2 linked regions of the Pelodiscus sinensis genome follow. The protein of the gene in region 1 purifies or fractionates together with the protein of each later gene. This does not show direct contact. Links are inferred from orthologs where the notes say so. Each region holds a gene or a part of one and is shown on either strand. Other genes may lie near its edges.

The links. Proteins that work in one complex are often made in the same cells at the same time.
Region 2: the proteins of CEP290 (region 1) and CEP97 purify together in Homo sapiens (co-immunoprecipitation; 4 studies listed by BioGRID and IntAct, with this or other methods). This does not show direct contact. The link is inferred for Pelodiscus sinensis from reciprocal best matches to the Homo sapiens genes CEP290 and CEP97.

Annotation. Positions count from the first base shown.
Region 1 is NC_134711.1:76,742,983-76,750,110, forward strand, and holds the start of CEP290 (centrosomal protein of 290 kDa), read right to left. Parts: upstream 3,016-7,128; 5' UTR 2,862-3,015; intron 2,840-2,861; exon of another isoform or gene 2,610-2,839; intron 1-2,609. UniProt on the Homo sapiens protein: Involved in early and late steps in cilia formation. Its association with CCP110 is required for inhibition of primary cilia formation by CCP110.
Region 2 is NC_134711.1:151,732,331-151,740,062, forward strand, and holds the start of CEP97 (centrosomal protein of 97 kDa), read left to right. Parts: upstream 1-4,714; 5' UTR 4,715-4,796; coding exon 4,797-4,854; intron 4,855-7,732. Other genes in the region: RPL24 (large ribosomal subunit protein eL24), read right to left, coding at 2,886-2,996, 4,262-4,337, 4,462-4,466. UniProt on the Homo sapiens protein: Acts as a key negative regulator of ciliogenesis in collaboration with CCP110 by capping the mother centriole thereby preventing cilia formation. Required for recruitment of CCP110 to the centrosome.

The DNA of each region.
Region 1 (7,128 bases):
ATAGATGGATGGCAACAATGTTGAGTAATTTTAAAAAAAAGTGTATTCACTCCATTGATGCTAGCTGGCATACGGAATTGGGACAGATATTTTGTAAATGACAAGCTCTCTTTCAGATATCCAGCATCTTCACTGGGGCTCAGTCTATTTGAAAATCCTCTTTTTTTTTTTTTTTTTTTTTTTAATGTCTTAGAAGTGGGTAATTTACTCATCGTGTAGTCAATAGGATTTTTATCACTACACAATTAATAAGGTAAGAAGCACTCAGTCCCGGCTCGCACCAAGTCCAGGACCTACGCTTGCTTCATGCTGCTGCCTCCCAGGTAAGTGGCACCGCGGAGACGATGCTGAGGGGGAACTAGCTTTTAAGCAAGCTCCCAACAGCAATGGCTCCTGTTTCCCCTCCCATTTTGCATACTCTGATACAGAGGCAGCGAGAGGGGTGGGGAAATGCGAATAGTCAACGTGACTAACTGATAAGCCTAGGTTTTATTGGTTAGTCAACCACTTTCTTACATCCCTACTTCTAAGCCCTCATCCTCCCTATACCTAAGGCTATGGGAATCTCACACATTTCTGGGAACTGGCACAACTTGTTCTGAATTACCTCAGCCCAGTTTTGCCCCTTTTTATGTTCCATATAATCATTTACCAAGGATGACATTACACATACAGTATCCATATATTTTTTATCTCTTACTTTTCCTGAATGACAGGGGGAGGCAGCTGCAGTATGCCATGCAGAAAAAAATTCAAGGATCTTTTCAAATACTAGTTCTGTCCAGTTCATTAGGAGAAAAGAGCTCAAGAGAAAAAATATTCTAAGCAGAAGATGATGTGTCAGAGTAGCAGACCACAAAGAACAAAAGGCTGAGACTGCAAATTATGCAGACAGGCTATTGGCATCATAAAAACACAGGCCATGAAATGTGAACAACTAGTTCTGAAATAGAACTACTGATCTTTGTCCGTAGACAAATGTTTGAGGGCTTTACCGTCCCTACCGATCTTTGTCCGTAGACAAATGTTTGAGGGCTTTACCGTCCCTTACACGGGACTGGCACATCCAAGAATGTAAACAGAGAATCATTTGTTAACAGTCCCACTCTAGAATTCAACCAGTCCTTTACTATTCCTCCACACCTTTTGTATCCTTCCTGGTTTCTAATTAGTTAATGACTTGGGAAAGTTACGCAAACCTATAGGCTATTATATTTTAGGATACCAACTTTGATTGTTTAAACAAGGTCTGAATGAGTTTGGAAAGAAGACTATAATAACGCACCTTGCTTGCACAGACATATTCATTTAGCCCAGATGCCCAACATGATGGAGCTGTTTTGCCTAAATGATCTCTTTTGGAGGAGGTGTTGGATTGCAAGTTACTTTATGACATGCAGAGCTAATATAATGTTGTTACTGTTGGGGTGGAGAAGCAGAACTGTGCTTGGCATATCCCAGTTGAGGGCTCTATCCTCAACTGAACAATATTCACAAAGCAGAGAGAAGGGATGCCAAAACCCAGTGGAAATGAGGGGGTGGGGACAAGAGTTTGTACTTGGTGGTGGGGGCTCTGCCTAAGGGTCTTAAGTACCATTTGACTTTCTCTCTTGCCACTGCAAATGATCTCATTATAGCCAAAGATGAAGCTCAGGAGTCCATACTGATATTAGCTCTACGTGCAGCTTTGGATACTAGTGATCATGAGGAGTTATTGACCAATTTGTTTGCGGACCCACATGATAGTAGATGAGGCTGATTTTAGATGGCTGATGGTTATCAAATGGCTCCTCGTCTCTAAAAGTCATATCATGAAGGTCTCTACTTAGTTACCCCTCTTCTTCATTGTAAAGTATGTATAGAATCAGTGAGATATGTGAGGAAATATTGTAAGACCATCATTGTGGTGATCATACGGAACTCTGACATCTTTTCATCTCACCCAGCCAGAGTGGTAAACTGCATTACCTTGTATCTGTATGAAATCAGAACATGATTGAGCTGTAGTTCAATCCAAAATTACTTGGATGATATTAAATACAAGATGTTATAGGCAAAACATTATGTGAAGAGAGGATGGATAAGTGAATTCAATCTGAGACTTATGAACCTCCGGGTGCCAACTCATAGAGGACTCGGGATACAGAGACTTTTACACTGATCTCCTGGATCAGAGATATGCATAATATTTTACCAAAAGGTGGTATGTGAGCTTTCTACAAAGAGCCAGTATCACATTAGTGCATTTATTAATATCAGCAGAACTGACTTAAATGGGGCCTGGGTGTTGCCTTAGACTTTGTATTCATACCCGTCAGTGTGAAAGAAGCTATATGCACATATATTTGCATGCATATGCAACCACACTTAAGTTGCGGCCCTCAGCATGTGCTGTGAGTATCATTGTGGCCCTCGGGGCTTCCAAAGTCGAGTAGCCCTGAGCTACCTGCTGCCCAGAGATACAGGGAGCTGGGACAGGCTTGCTCAGGCTGAGGGCAGATGGTAGGACCCTGGCAGCATGACCCCATCACAACTAGAGCCCCCACCCTCCCAACAGCCCTTCTATTGGCCAGGGACGTATTTAAAAGCTTGGCGCGCGCCCCACTTGCCTCTCGCGCCTACACCGGCCCTGGGAACACGCCAGCCTGGAGTGGCACAAGCCCCGCGCCGGCCGAGATCCTCCCACGGTGCGTGGCCGCAGCCAGGCTCCTCAGCCACGCAGGGCCCGCCAAGGGGAGGCGCGGCTCCCTGGCGAATCAGCGGACAACGGGACCTGGGCGGGAGGCGCCGCTATCTCCCCAGCGGGGTTCCTGCCCTACAGCTCATCCCCCTCCCCCAGCGCCGCGCCCTCCTGCCCTCACCCGTCTCCGTTTAAGCTACTGGAGGCCACGGCCGCTGCTAGGCGACGCCATCAAACACCGCTCAGCCGGCGCCGCGGGGGACCCGGATACACGCAGATGAATCAAAACTGGCGGGGGCCTACAAGCCCCAGCGTGCACAGCGCACCCGGCAGAGACTGCCACTCCCGGCACGCACCGCGCCACGAAGAGCGAGGACGTTTTTCAATGGCGCAAAAGAGGCCGCGGTGGAAGAAGGGGGAATCTGCCACGCCTAAGTCTTGCGAAGACTACATTTCCCGGCATGCCGCGCGTCCGCGCGGGGAACTACAGGTCCCAGTACACTAGGCAACCTTATACCAGCCGGCACGCTGGGACCTGTAGTGTGGAGGGGCAGCTCCCGGCAGCCTTCGGGAAAGTAGTGGTTTTCGCGCTTGCGTAGTACACAAGGGAGCGTCCCTTGTAGTCTCCGTGTAGCGCGGTGGCTGTGGAGCGAGTGATGTTCATTGGCGGCAGGGAGAGCGTGTTACCCGCACAGCGCCAGGTAGGGGAGCGCTGCGAGGGCGGGTAGCGGCAGAGGGGGCCCGGCCGGAGGAGAGGGGGGTGTTGCTGGAGCTCACCCGCCCGGTAGCGGCTGCCCCTCCCGTCTCTCGGCATGGGCAGCCGGGCGGGGCTGCCGTCTCCAGAGCTGCCCCTGCTCTCGAGTCTTGCCTCAGCCTGGGCTGCGAGGCCCTTGGGTGCGGGCCCTTCGTTCCGGGCCCGCCTCAGCTGTTCGCCCCTCGCCGCCTTCGGGGACGGGGCTGTTCCCCACTTGCAGAGCAGGGGGTTGCCCTCGGCTCCGGCCCCCTACGCAGCTCGGCGCCCCGGGAGTGGCAGCACTGAAGTGCTACTGGTCACTTTTAGCTGGCATGTGGCGACAGGGGGCTTCTTGGGGCAGGGACCAGCTGCTTGTGTTGTACAGAGCCTTGTCCGGCAGGTCTCCCCGTTCTCCATACAAAGAAGCTATGGGGATGTCTACACTACAGAGTTTTTCGGGAAAATGGCCATTTTTCCGAAAAAAACTCCAATTACATCCACATTGCAATTGCGTTCTTGTGAAAGAAAATCAAAAGAACAGCGGGGGTTTTCCAACATTGGTAATTGTCATTCCACGAGGAAGAAGACTTTTTCCTAAAGAGCTCTTTCGGGAAGTGACACGTGTGTGTGTGTGGACGGGGAAGAGGGAATTCTTTTGGAAGAAGGAAGAGGAAAAAGCACAGGAGCCTTGGTGGCCACTCCATCCATAGTAATCACAGCTGAAATGAAAGATATAATGCACATGGCTTTTTCGATAGGCTTTTGCAGTGTGGATGCTGTCTTGCAGAAGTTTTTCTGGAAGCTCTCTTGTGGAAAAGCTTCTTCCAAAAGAAGCCTGCAGCCTAAACACAGCCTATAGGGAAATATGAGGACTATTCAGCAACAAACCCAGGAGCACACAGCGCTCAAAGCTGAGCTGGGTTTCTCTCGTTACAATTCCTGCTATGTATTCTTTCTTGGACATAGATGTTGTTGCATACGTGTTTTTGGCAATTATGGGCAACACCTGCCTTACAACAGCCCAAGTTCCAACCCCCCTCACTTACAACCATTTTTTAATACGGAAGGGGCTAATAACCCCCGACTTATGTCCTCGGCCCGCATTTATGATGGTGCCTATTGTAAACATGGGTTCGAGTTATGATGCCCCTGACTTGCAATGCTTCCCCCAGAAACCGATCGTGTCACAAGTCGGGGGCTGCCTGTAGTCTTTCCTAATGTGCATATCTGTCTCTAATTCTAACTGCTCTCCTCCAAGAGGTGCTCACATTCTAATGGCTTGTCTTCACCCCATGGAAGATTGCCACTGCTGCAATTGATCATCTGGACTTCAATTTAGAAAGTCTAGTTAAAACTAGATTCCCATAGGCTTTCCTGAACTAGACTTGCTAAATCCAACTCAGAGGATGCCCCCGGTGGCATCTGGTACTCCTCTTGTGAGGAGTAAGGGAAGCCATGGGGATACTGCCAAACTTGACTTAAGTTGCTGTACCCTAAGCTGAGCTCCCAGGTATAGCGTATACCTGGCTTAATATAGCTTCTTCAGAGCTCGCTTTTGCTCTCTTTTCTGGGCATGGCGCTGCAGTAACCAATCCAAAGTTAAATAAAAGCCGTACTTAGGCCATGTCCGTGCTAAGAGCAGCTGTGCCATTATAGTTCTGCAGAGTAGATGTTTTTTATATCAAGGGAAAGATCAGTCTATCAGTGGAGTTAAACTATCTCTCAGGGAGGTGGGATGGACATCTGGTTAAGACGTCTACATTTTTTGAGTCAATATAACTACATTGCAAAGGGTCCGACATTTTTCATAAACCTGGGGGGATAAAGCTATGTACAGTAGATCTAATTTTTAAGTCTTATTAAAGACTAGCTGCCAAGCCTTACTCAGCAGCAAGGAGCAGGCGGGAATATATAGAAAACCAGAGGAGACTGTACTAAACTTCACACTGATTTAATGCCCAGTCACTTATATTGGTTGTGACGACAATGTACGTAAACGCAAAATACTGTATTGTTGGAAAGAAAAATTGAGCTGTTCATATACCATACAAAATTCTGAGTTAACTATCAACTTAGGAGATGGAAAACTTATTGAAGGTGTAGCGTGCAGCTGTGGTCGAAGGCAAAGATGATGTATAAAGAACAGAATGGAGAATCCTACAGCAAATATCCGATTATAAAAATATACATGTGGTATCATTTAGTAAACTATGTGCAGTACCAGAACCAGTCGGCCTGTTTTAAAATTAATATTATAGATTTAGGGAGGATTTTGAGACAGGCAAAGAAACTGGCAGAAGGATGGAAAAACTCATGAGAGATTGGGAAGGCTCTAATTAACTTCCTCAGAAAGGAGATGAACAAGAAGAGATAGGATTCAAGTATACAAAATAAATGGTAAAGAGAAGTAAAATGAGAGGGTCTGTTCTATATGTATCCTAATACAAGGAATTGTGGGATAGTAAAATTAAGTGCTAAAGTTAAAACTAATAAGCATAATTAAACTGGTGGAACTGTGACTGTGTAGATACTAAGGATGTGAACATGTGCATGGTTATCCCACACTGGTAAACTCTCCTCCACTGCACTGCTGCGTCTGTACCGGCATGGTATGAACCGTGTGGGTTTTAGGCTTCACAGCACCAGTCTCTCCCTAAGGCACCACCAGCTCTGGAGGCTCAATGCAGTGTCCAGCTCCCATTGTCCAGGTCTCTGGCTGGATTACTTCTGGAACTCCTGCAGCAGATCCTTCTTCTCTGGCATCCAGCCCAGGCAGCTGAGCATCTCCCTTTTATACTGCCCCAGCACTTGGAGCATGCCCGGTTTGGCTGGAGGGGTGGGACAACTTCTACCCAGAGCAATTGCGCTGCAGGCTCTGCTGTATAATCTTTATACTGAAGAGCCCACAGCATGTAACCTAACTAACTGCTTTTTAACATCCCAAAGCTTTACACATGTTATACACAATTTAACAGGATAATGATTTTCAGTAGGTTATGAATTTTCAAATAATACATAAGAAATATATTAGTCTTGTAAAAGTGGAGTATATGTGGTACCGGGTGTCACAAGGGGTTCAGAATGTCAGTGTGGTGTAATATTTTCACATTGCAAATACTTAGACTCTTTGCTAGCTCTCCTGCAATGGCTGTTTCACCAATGTCAAGGATAATCTATGAGTCAAACTCACAATGCAGTGTTGGCTGAGAATAGTTGATATCCCAGCCACAAAAGAGCAAATCCATTCTGATGATAGAGATGTCAGAATCCCCTGTCAGCTTAACTCAGTGGTTGGCAATTGTGGCCCAACAGAGTTCTCTGATGGCGGGCCTTGAGATAGTTTGGTTTGTTTGTTAAGCAGTCTCAGGCACTTCTCTTCTTCCCCCATCCCCGCCCAGCTCCCAATGGACATGGTTCACTGTTCCTGGTCAATGGCAGCTGCAGGGGGCTGTGCCTGCAGATGTTCACCATGAACAAACTGTGTTGTGGTCTGCTATGGAGGCGGAGGGAGGTCAGCTCCATGTGCACAGCAAGGTGTGGGGTCTCAGCTAAAAGGGGCAGGGCCAGGAGCAGGCAGCCCTCCATGTTGCATGCAGCGTAGTTCTCAGGCAGTGATTTAAAGGGCTGGGGCTTCTGGCCACTGCTGCAGCAGCTGGGAGCCCTGGGCCCCTTTAAATCATGGAACCTTGGGACAGCTACCCCCTTCTGCTCCCCT
Region 2 (7,732 bases), about 75 Mb from region 1:
AATAGGAGAGCTTTAAAATGAATTAGTGCTACCAAAACCAAAAACTACTACACTACCCCCTGCAAAAAACCCACAAAGGATAATTAGGAAAGTGGTTACTGTGAAGTCAAAATTTATCTGCAGTTATCAAACAGTAGTATACAGAATTGCTGTTGGATCTTAAAAAATTACTCTATCTTGGAAAATGCTGATTAATGGCAACTCCCATATCCACTTTTTGTGCAGACATATGAATCCAACAGCTTAATAGTGGCTGATTTCACAAGCCATTATAAATGTATGGAAAAGAGCTAAAAACTGCAAAAACTTTTTAATCAATCAGAAATTCCTTAGGACTGACTAGGAACAGAATGCCAGTATCAAGCTATTATTTGTTCCAATGGCCATGGAATTACCTTCCAGGAACATTAGACGAATCAAGAGTTCTCTCAACATTAGGAACACTACAAAACCTCTCTGACCAAAAACAAAACCAACCCCACACCCACCCACCCACTTTCCCACCATAACCAGTGTATCAGCATCACTTCTCTCCAGACCCCTTTCCAAAAGCACTACATTTAAGAACAGCTTTCTAGAACCACAAAAGAGAAGAATCAGAGGCTGCTTGGATTCTACAAGGGTTTTCAACACTACCAGCGTTTTGGAAGTGGCAGATTCTTGGTTATCATAGTAAAGAGTAGCTGTACAAAATCATAAAACTGTTTTCTTTTCCCTACCTGACAATCAGTTTAAAAAAAACTGAAATCAAAGTGTGTCTTGTTACATCTCAATTTTTGTAACACGTTTAATTAGCAATCCTGCAAGCAGGTTTCAAAGGGTCTATCAAGTAAGGATGTCAAGGACTAGTCGACTAGCAAATGCGTCTCGGTCATCTGAAGAAGTGGGCTGTGCCCACAAAAGCTCACAATATCATCTACTTGTTTTGTTAGTCTATAAAGTGCTACCAGACCTTTTGTTGTTTTTTAAGTTTTTCCTGTACAGACTAACTTGGCTACCCCCTGAAGCTTCTCAGATAGTGAGTTGACTACAGGCAGTCCCCGGGTTACATGGATCCGACTTACATCGGATCCCTACTTACAAATGGGGTGAGGCAACCCCGCACTAGCTGCTTCCCCCCAGCAGACCAGGGAGACGCGGAGCAGCTTTTCTCAGCAGACACCTAAGCTTGAGAATAAAGGACTGAGGGAAGTGAGGTGTGGGAGAATAAAACTGAGCTCTGGAAAAATGTTTGGCTAGAGTTTCCCCTACAATATGTACCAGTTCCAACTTGCATACAAATTCAACTTAAGAACAAACCTACAGTACCTATCCTGTACGTAACCCGGGGAATGCCTGTAGTCGATTTCTCCCCTCCCATCCCACCTCCCTGCGCCTCTATCACACAGAGGCAGCAAAGAGTATGCATGAAGAGGGGGTATTCCAAAGCAGCAGCACCACACAGCTGTTCCCAGGCTCAGCTGTGTGGCGCTGCCACTTTGAAACAGAGGCAGCGTTTCAAGGTGGCAGCGCTGCTGCTTTCCCCCAGGTTCTGGGGAAATGCCACACGGAACCCAGTCAGCTGGGGAGTCCCCGCTGACAACGGGCTCCTTGCTTCACTTCTGCTTAGAAATGCACAAGAGTCCCCACTGGTGACTCTTGTGCACTTCAAAGCTGGCACACCCGCATGCAGCCTGGAGTCAACGCAATTTCCCGCTGGCCCTTAGCTGCAAGCAGAGTTCCGCATGCCTCCTTTAAAATGTACAAGAGCCCCAGCGGGAAGTTCTACAGAACTCAATGGTTTAGGCTTCTTAGGCTATACAGAGAAACCTTACCATTATATGACAAAGACTTTTAAAAGAACATGTACTTTAATGCCTCTGGATACGTATACAGAAGAAATTCCATATGTGCCCCTGATGAAAACACATTTCTATCTCCAAAGATTTCAACTTCACAGCCAAAATTTTCAGACAGATGGGAGCATTTTTTTTATACCAGCTGTTTGCAAAGTTACATTCTAAGACTGTTTTATCAAACCAACACAAACAGTGCATTTAGAAAATCTCTGTTTAGAAAAAATAATCCCAGTTACTACTTGTGGATTAAGAAACACTTTTTTCATTTACAGATCAATTTTTTAAACAGGAACTCTGAATCTGTGTATTCAGTCTCAAGCGCAGTATGGCCTTGTTTGAGGTTTCATATTGAAATACACAATTGTAATTTGTGTTTAACAAATGACCACCTTTCAAATGTAAACCAACAAAATACCATCTTCACAAACCTGCAGCTGTGGGGAGAGATTAACCAGATTGTCTTTCAACAAGCTCTTGATTGGCAAAGCCATGATATTCACATGTGAGAAAGTCTTCACAATCACGAAGAGGGCTTGGAAAAAAAGCCTCTTTACAAACATAAAGGTTTACATTCTACAGCAGTGGTTCTCAACTGCTGGGCCACGGACCAGTGTCAGGCCCATAAATTGCAGGCTGCAGTGGCTGAGAGTCAGGGCTAGAGTACGCCCTGGCCTGGCCTCATGAGCTGCTGCACAGCAGCCGGCTTCAGCTCCAGCAGCCGCTACCGAAGCGGAGGCCATTCACCGTAGCCCCTCTAACATTTTATTTGCATATCTGTGCATTCATTATTTGCATAATGAGTATGTAAATAAAATATTACCAGTCCACCAAAAGTTTGTGAAGGAGTTTGCCAATCCGCAATACAAAAAAAGATTGAGAACGACTGTCCTACAGAACTCGATGGTTTAGGCTTCTTAGGCTATCCAGAGAAACCTTTCATTTCCCTGCTAGTCAGAGACAGCTAGAATTGTTCTGATACACCCAGGAAACCATTCTTCATTTGAAAATTTAAAGCAGTATTTATCACAACATGTGAAGTATACTTACAGACTGTCCTTTTTTGTGTTTGCGCCTATACAGAACAGTCCAGTTGATCTGACGGGGGTTTCTCTTGGAAAGAAATGCAGATTCGCATTTTGCATTCAAGAACTGGAAAACCTAGGGAAGCAAATTTATTTTAAGGCAACACTGTTATGTTTTCTGTAAGGTATCCAGGCCTGTATGTAAGAATTTCTGTGTGTGTAGGGTGTGTGCGCTCTTTTTTTGTAAATGTGGACCTCAAGGGTGGAGACTGTGGAAAGGTGCTTTCGCACCCCGTGCATATGGGTCTGATAATCTTTTGATCTCACTAATGCATTTAAGTGACATCTGTAGCTTTTTTATTTTTAAATATGGCCTCAGCTAAAACTTCAACTTGCATCCCTGCTTTCCATCTAATCTTCTGAATGGCCAATGAAAGCATAAACATTAAATACAAATTTCAAGACCATGTTGGTTATGGGGTGTGTCAGGTTAAATATATGTCCGACTCCTCAGCTATGTACAATGATTTTCCTGTACAGAAGAACTGGGAAGCAAGTAGTTCTTTCATAAACTTCATGATTCATGCTTTAAAATCCATCCCTGACATAGCAACAAGGAATGCTTAACATAAAAATGTCACCAAAATCTTTCCCCTCATAACATTCATTATGTAAAGGAGATGTGGAGAACCATTTTTGTTTCAGCACCATGGGGAGACCCACCCCGCGCAAGCCTGAGGGGCCAGATCCAGGCAAGCCAGGGGTCGCATGGAGCCTCTGTGCCTGAGGTTCCTCACCCAGATGTAAAGCTACACTCTCAAAGAGTAGACAAACCACTTAGGTTGTACTACACAACTGATGCTATGTCCTAAAAAAGCCATCTCCACCTCGGAAGATGAAAACCATCAGTTGTATCTTTTAGGCTAGTATTTGCAGTGAAACTCATTTAGCACTACTCCAGGAGGAAGTGGAGGGAGGGGTTAAATTTTAACATCACAGAGGGAACAGGAGAGCGGCTATCTGCAAACAATGAGCATATCTAAAGTTTCATGTTAACAATCTGGACCCCGCAAACGCCTTCCCACTCAGCATACTATTCCTTGTCAGCACAAACCGGTGAATCAACCTAACCGGGATTGAAAACTTCCTTGGTTTCAGACCCCATTCTTAAAACCACCGCTTCCCAAACCACGAGTCCACGAAGACTATTCTTTGCCCGGGACACCTAAGTACAGATGCTACCTGCTCCCGCAGCGCGCAAGCTTTATACACGACAGACCCACCCCCCCCTCGCCAGGGCCTCCAGGGCGAGCCCGTGGCTTCCATTCAACAGCCAGGAGGGCGCCACTCAGAAACTGCCGCCATTTGGCCCCGACCCGTAGGCTCCGCGCCGGGCCTCACCTTGCCGTCCGTGCGGGCGTAGCGGCGGCCGTGGCCCGGGTAGATCTTGTAGCCGCTGAAGCTGCATAGCTCGACCCTGCGGGGAGGGGGGGCAAGAGGAAGCAGAGCGGGTTAGAGGGGCGGGGCGGCCGGGCCCCGAGGGGCGCTCGGCTCGGAGGATGGAGCCGGATGGTGGAGCCGGTCGGGCCGGCGACACTTACTTCATGATGGCGGCGGCAGCTCCAACTCTAGCGAGCCCGGCAGCCAAGAGGAAGAGAGGATCATGGGAAACCGCCTTCTAGACGCGGCGCGGGGCACCATGGGAAACGCGCACCGCGCAGAGCATCACGGGAGGAAGCGCCCCCGTTTCCCCCCTGAGGGATTTCTTCCCCCCCTCTCTCAAATTCGCTTTAAAATGGCCGCTGGCGACGCCGCGGGGCCCCTCGTCAGGGGGTTGCGCAGCTAAAACGCCCAGAAATTATTTTTTCTCCGCGCATTAAAGCAGCCAATCAGCGCGCGGCGCCTCGTTGCCTGGCGTCGTTAGCAAGCGGGAAGTATGGCGGCGGCGGCGGCGCGGAGCGAGGCGCCCACGTTGGCTCTGGGAGCCAGCGAAGGTAACGGGGCGGCGGGGACCGGACCGGGTGGGCTATGGGCTTGCTGGGGGACTCTCGGTGGCAGGACGGCGGGGCCTAGTGATTTATCTTCGGGCCCAACGTTTGTTAGGCTGCTCGCGCGGTGCATCGTGGGATTTGTAGTCCACCCGCAACACAGTCTGGCCGTGAGCTCGGGGAGTGGACGACAAATCCCAGAGGGCTTTGCGCTCTCACAACACCGCTCCTGGTGAATAGGTGCCGAGGCAGCATCTGCTAATTGGAAGGGGAACGGTCCGCTAGCGGCCACGCCTGGAGCCTGCTGCTCCCAGCCCGTTAACGGGGCGGCAGCAGCAGGCGTGTAAGGGCAGGCTGGGCGAATCGGTCCCTTGCCCACTCATGGCATGTCGGTGTATTTGTGCGGGTCTTCTCTCTCCAGCATGTGGGGGGGGGGTACTAATGGGGGTCTGACAAAGCAGTGAGACCACGAGACAATATCACTAGTGTCATCCACTTTCCTGCTGCCCGGGCAGCCCTTGCCCAGTGGTGCTGAAATTAGGGCTGTTAGTGTGTAGCTCTTACATGATTAACTGATAAGCCTAGGCTCTCCAGTTAATTCTAAAGTTTACACACTCCCCACCCCCTGCTGCCTCTGTATCAGAGGTAGCAAGGGTGAGGGGAGGGTTTTTTTTTTTAAACCAGCGTCCTGCTCCTGCACAGCTGCCTCCAATGGAGGCAGCTGGCAGGAACCAGTGCTTGAGAGGAGCTGGGTCCCTTTGAACACCAGCTCCTGTCTTCCCCCCACCTCCCTCCCATGTGTAAACATGTATCTGGTAATAAATCCAGTGATTACATATTTACACAAACATCCCTAGCTTAAACTGCCTGCTGCAATTGGTTGGGTTTAGGATGTAAGGGAGGTGCTGTTGTGAGACGGCAGCTAACATCCGGTCCTATAAATGATACAATTATTTGCTCTTGTGAATGGCTGTGCAATGCACAACTTGCAGATGCTTGAGTGCCACCTATCATCTTTCGGGCAAGTGTGGATGCTCCTCTGAAGATAGCAGTTCTTCTCAATGTGTAGTTCTCCGATCCCTGTCGTCATCGATAGAAAATGAGTATGTAATAATGAAGTAGCTGCAAAGATCTAACTCCCAGTATGCACTGTCTTCATTTACATTGTGAGCTCTTCAAGGCAAGAACCTTGTCTTATATCTGTAAAGTGCCATTCATATTTATAGATGAACAATAAACATTTCCTAACATACACTGTTCACTGATGAAAGGGAGCTTTCCTTTGTGAGTGGAAGAGGTTAGGCAGAGAGAATCTTATAAATAAGAAATATCCTGTACTGTCTCCCTGAATTTCCAGACAGCTTCCATGTCTCCATTGCTGATTATAACTTTTCTAAGTAGTTTTAGCACAGCTGCTTTTCAGAATTCTGTGGAGAACAGTGAGCTCAACAAGTAATGTGTGTTTAACATTGATTCTTTTGGGAAAGTAAATAGCAGACATACTTGCTAGTTTTGTAGTTATCCAATCAGTTCAGTGATTGAAGACTGTTCTTTGCCAATAGTGTCTCTTTTTAACTTTACCATGGGTACAGCAATAGTATAAGAATATAGTCATATAAAACCCATATTGATAGAGCCCTGCAAATCTGTGACTATCCATGGCTCATTTTGATGGATGCAGACAGAAAAAATTGTATCTAGAATCCTGCAAATTTACAGATAGCTCAGCCGAGCCACCACAGAGGGAGGGGAATGGGGTGAGGCGGTGATGTACACAGCCAGGGGGCGGGGCTGTGTACGTCACCACCCCCTTCCCCTTCGGCTGTGGCACTTGGCTGAGTGCTGCGCCCCTCAGCCGGGCCGCCGGAGGAGCCAGCAGTGCAAGGGGCTGTTTGGACTCCCCTGGGGTAGGAGGGGAAGGTAGGGCAGTGATAAAATAAAATAAAAAAATATAATGGAGATTACCTATCTCCTAGAACTGGAAGGGACCTTGAAAGGTAATCGAGTCCAGTCCCCTGCCTTCACAGTAGGACCAAGTACCACCCCTGACAAATTTTTGCCCCAAATGGCCTCTGCAAGGATTGAACTCATAACCCTGGGTTTAGTAGGCCAATGCTCAAACCACTGAGCTATCCCTCCCACATGGCCCTGGTCCCAGTCGCATAAGTCACTGCCCCTCCCCCCCCTCCCTCGTGGCAGCCCAGCTGAGCAGGCAGCACTCAGCCAAGGGCCACGGCGGGAGGGAAGGGGAAAGGGGGGCGGGGAGAGAGAGGCAGGAGGAGGACGAGAAGAGAAAGGGAGAGTGAGAGGCAGGAGGGGGAGGATAGCTGGGGGGGCGGGGGGAGGCAGTAGGAAGAGAGAGAGAGAGAGACAGAGCAAGAGAGCTCAGGAGAGAAGACCTGAAAATCCCGTCTTATGACGGGCTAATTGGCTAGTAGTAGATAAGAATGGGAGAGTGGTTTAAGTCTGCTGTATATACAGTATCTCCTAAACTGAGCTAATGTCTGAAAGAGATAATTGGAAACCATAGATCCTGAAAATCATTAGTGATCTAAATTTCACTTATCTTGGAAACTGCATCGTTTCTCAGCTCTGTTATAATGACTGCCTTTGGCTGGAATGTGTTCACTTTGTCCAAAGAGTTAAATGGTGGTCTCAACTTCAGAATTTTGTCTTGCCCAAAACATATTTGGACTCAAGTGTTGAATACTTTTAGCGTGTACTATCAAATGCATCTATTTGCTCAGGCTTTCCACTAGAGGCACTGCTGGAATTTAGAACATTGCATATTCCATCACTTAGAATTTTCCCATTTTTGGTCCTTATGGGAAAGTTAGTTTGATGCTGTAGAGCTGTTCATACATTAAAGTTAGCTGGAGAACAA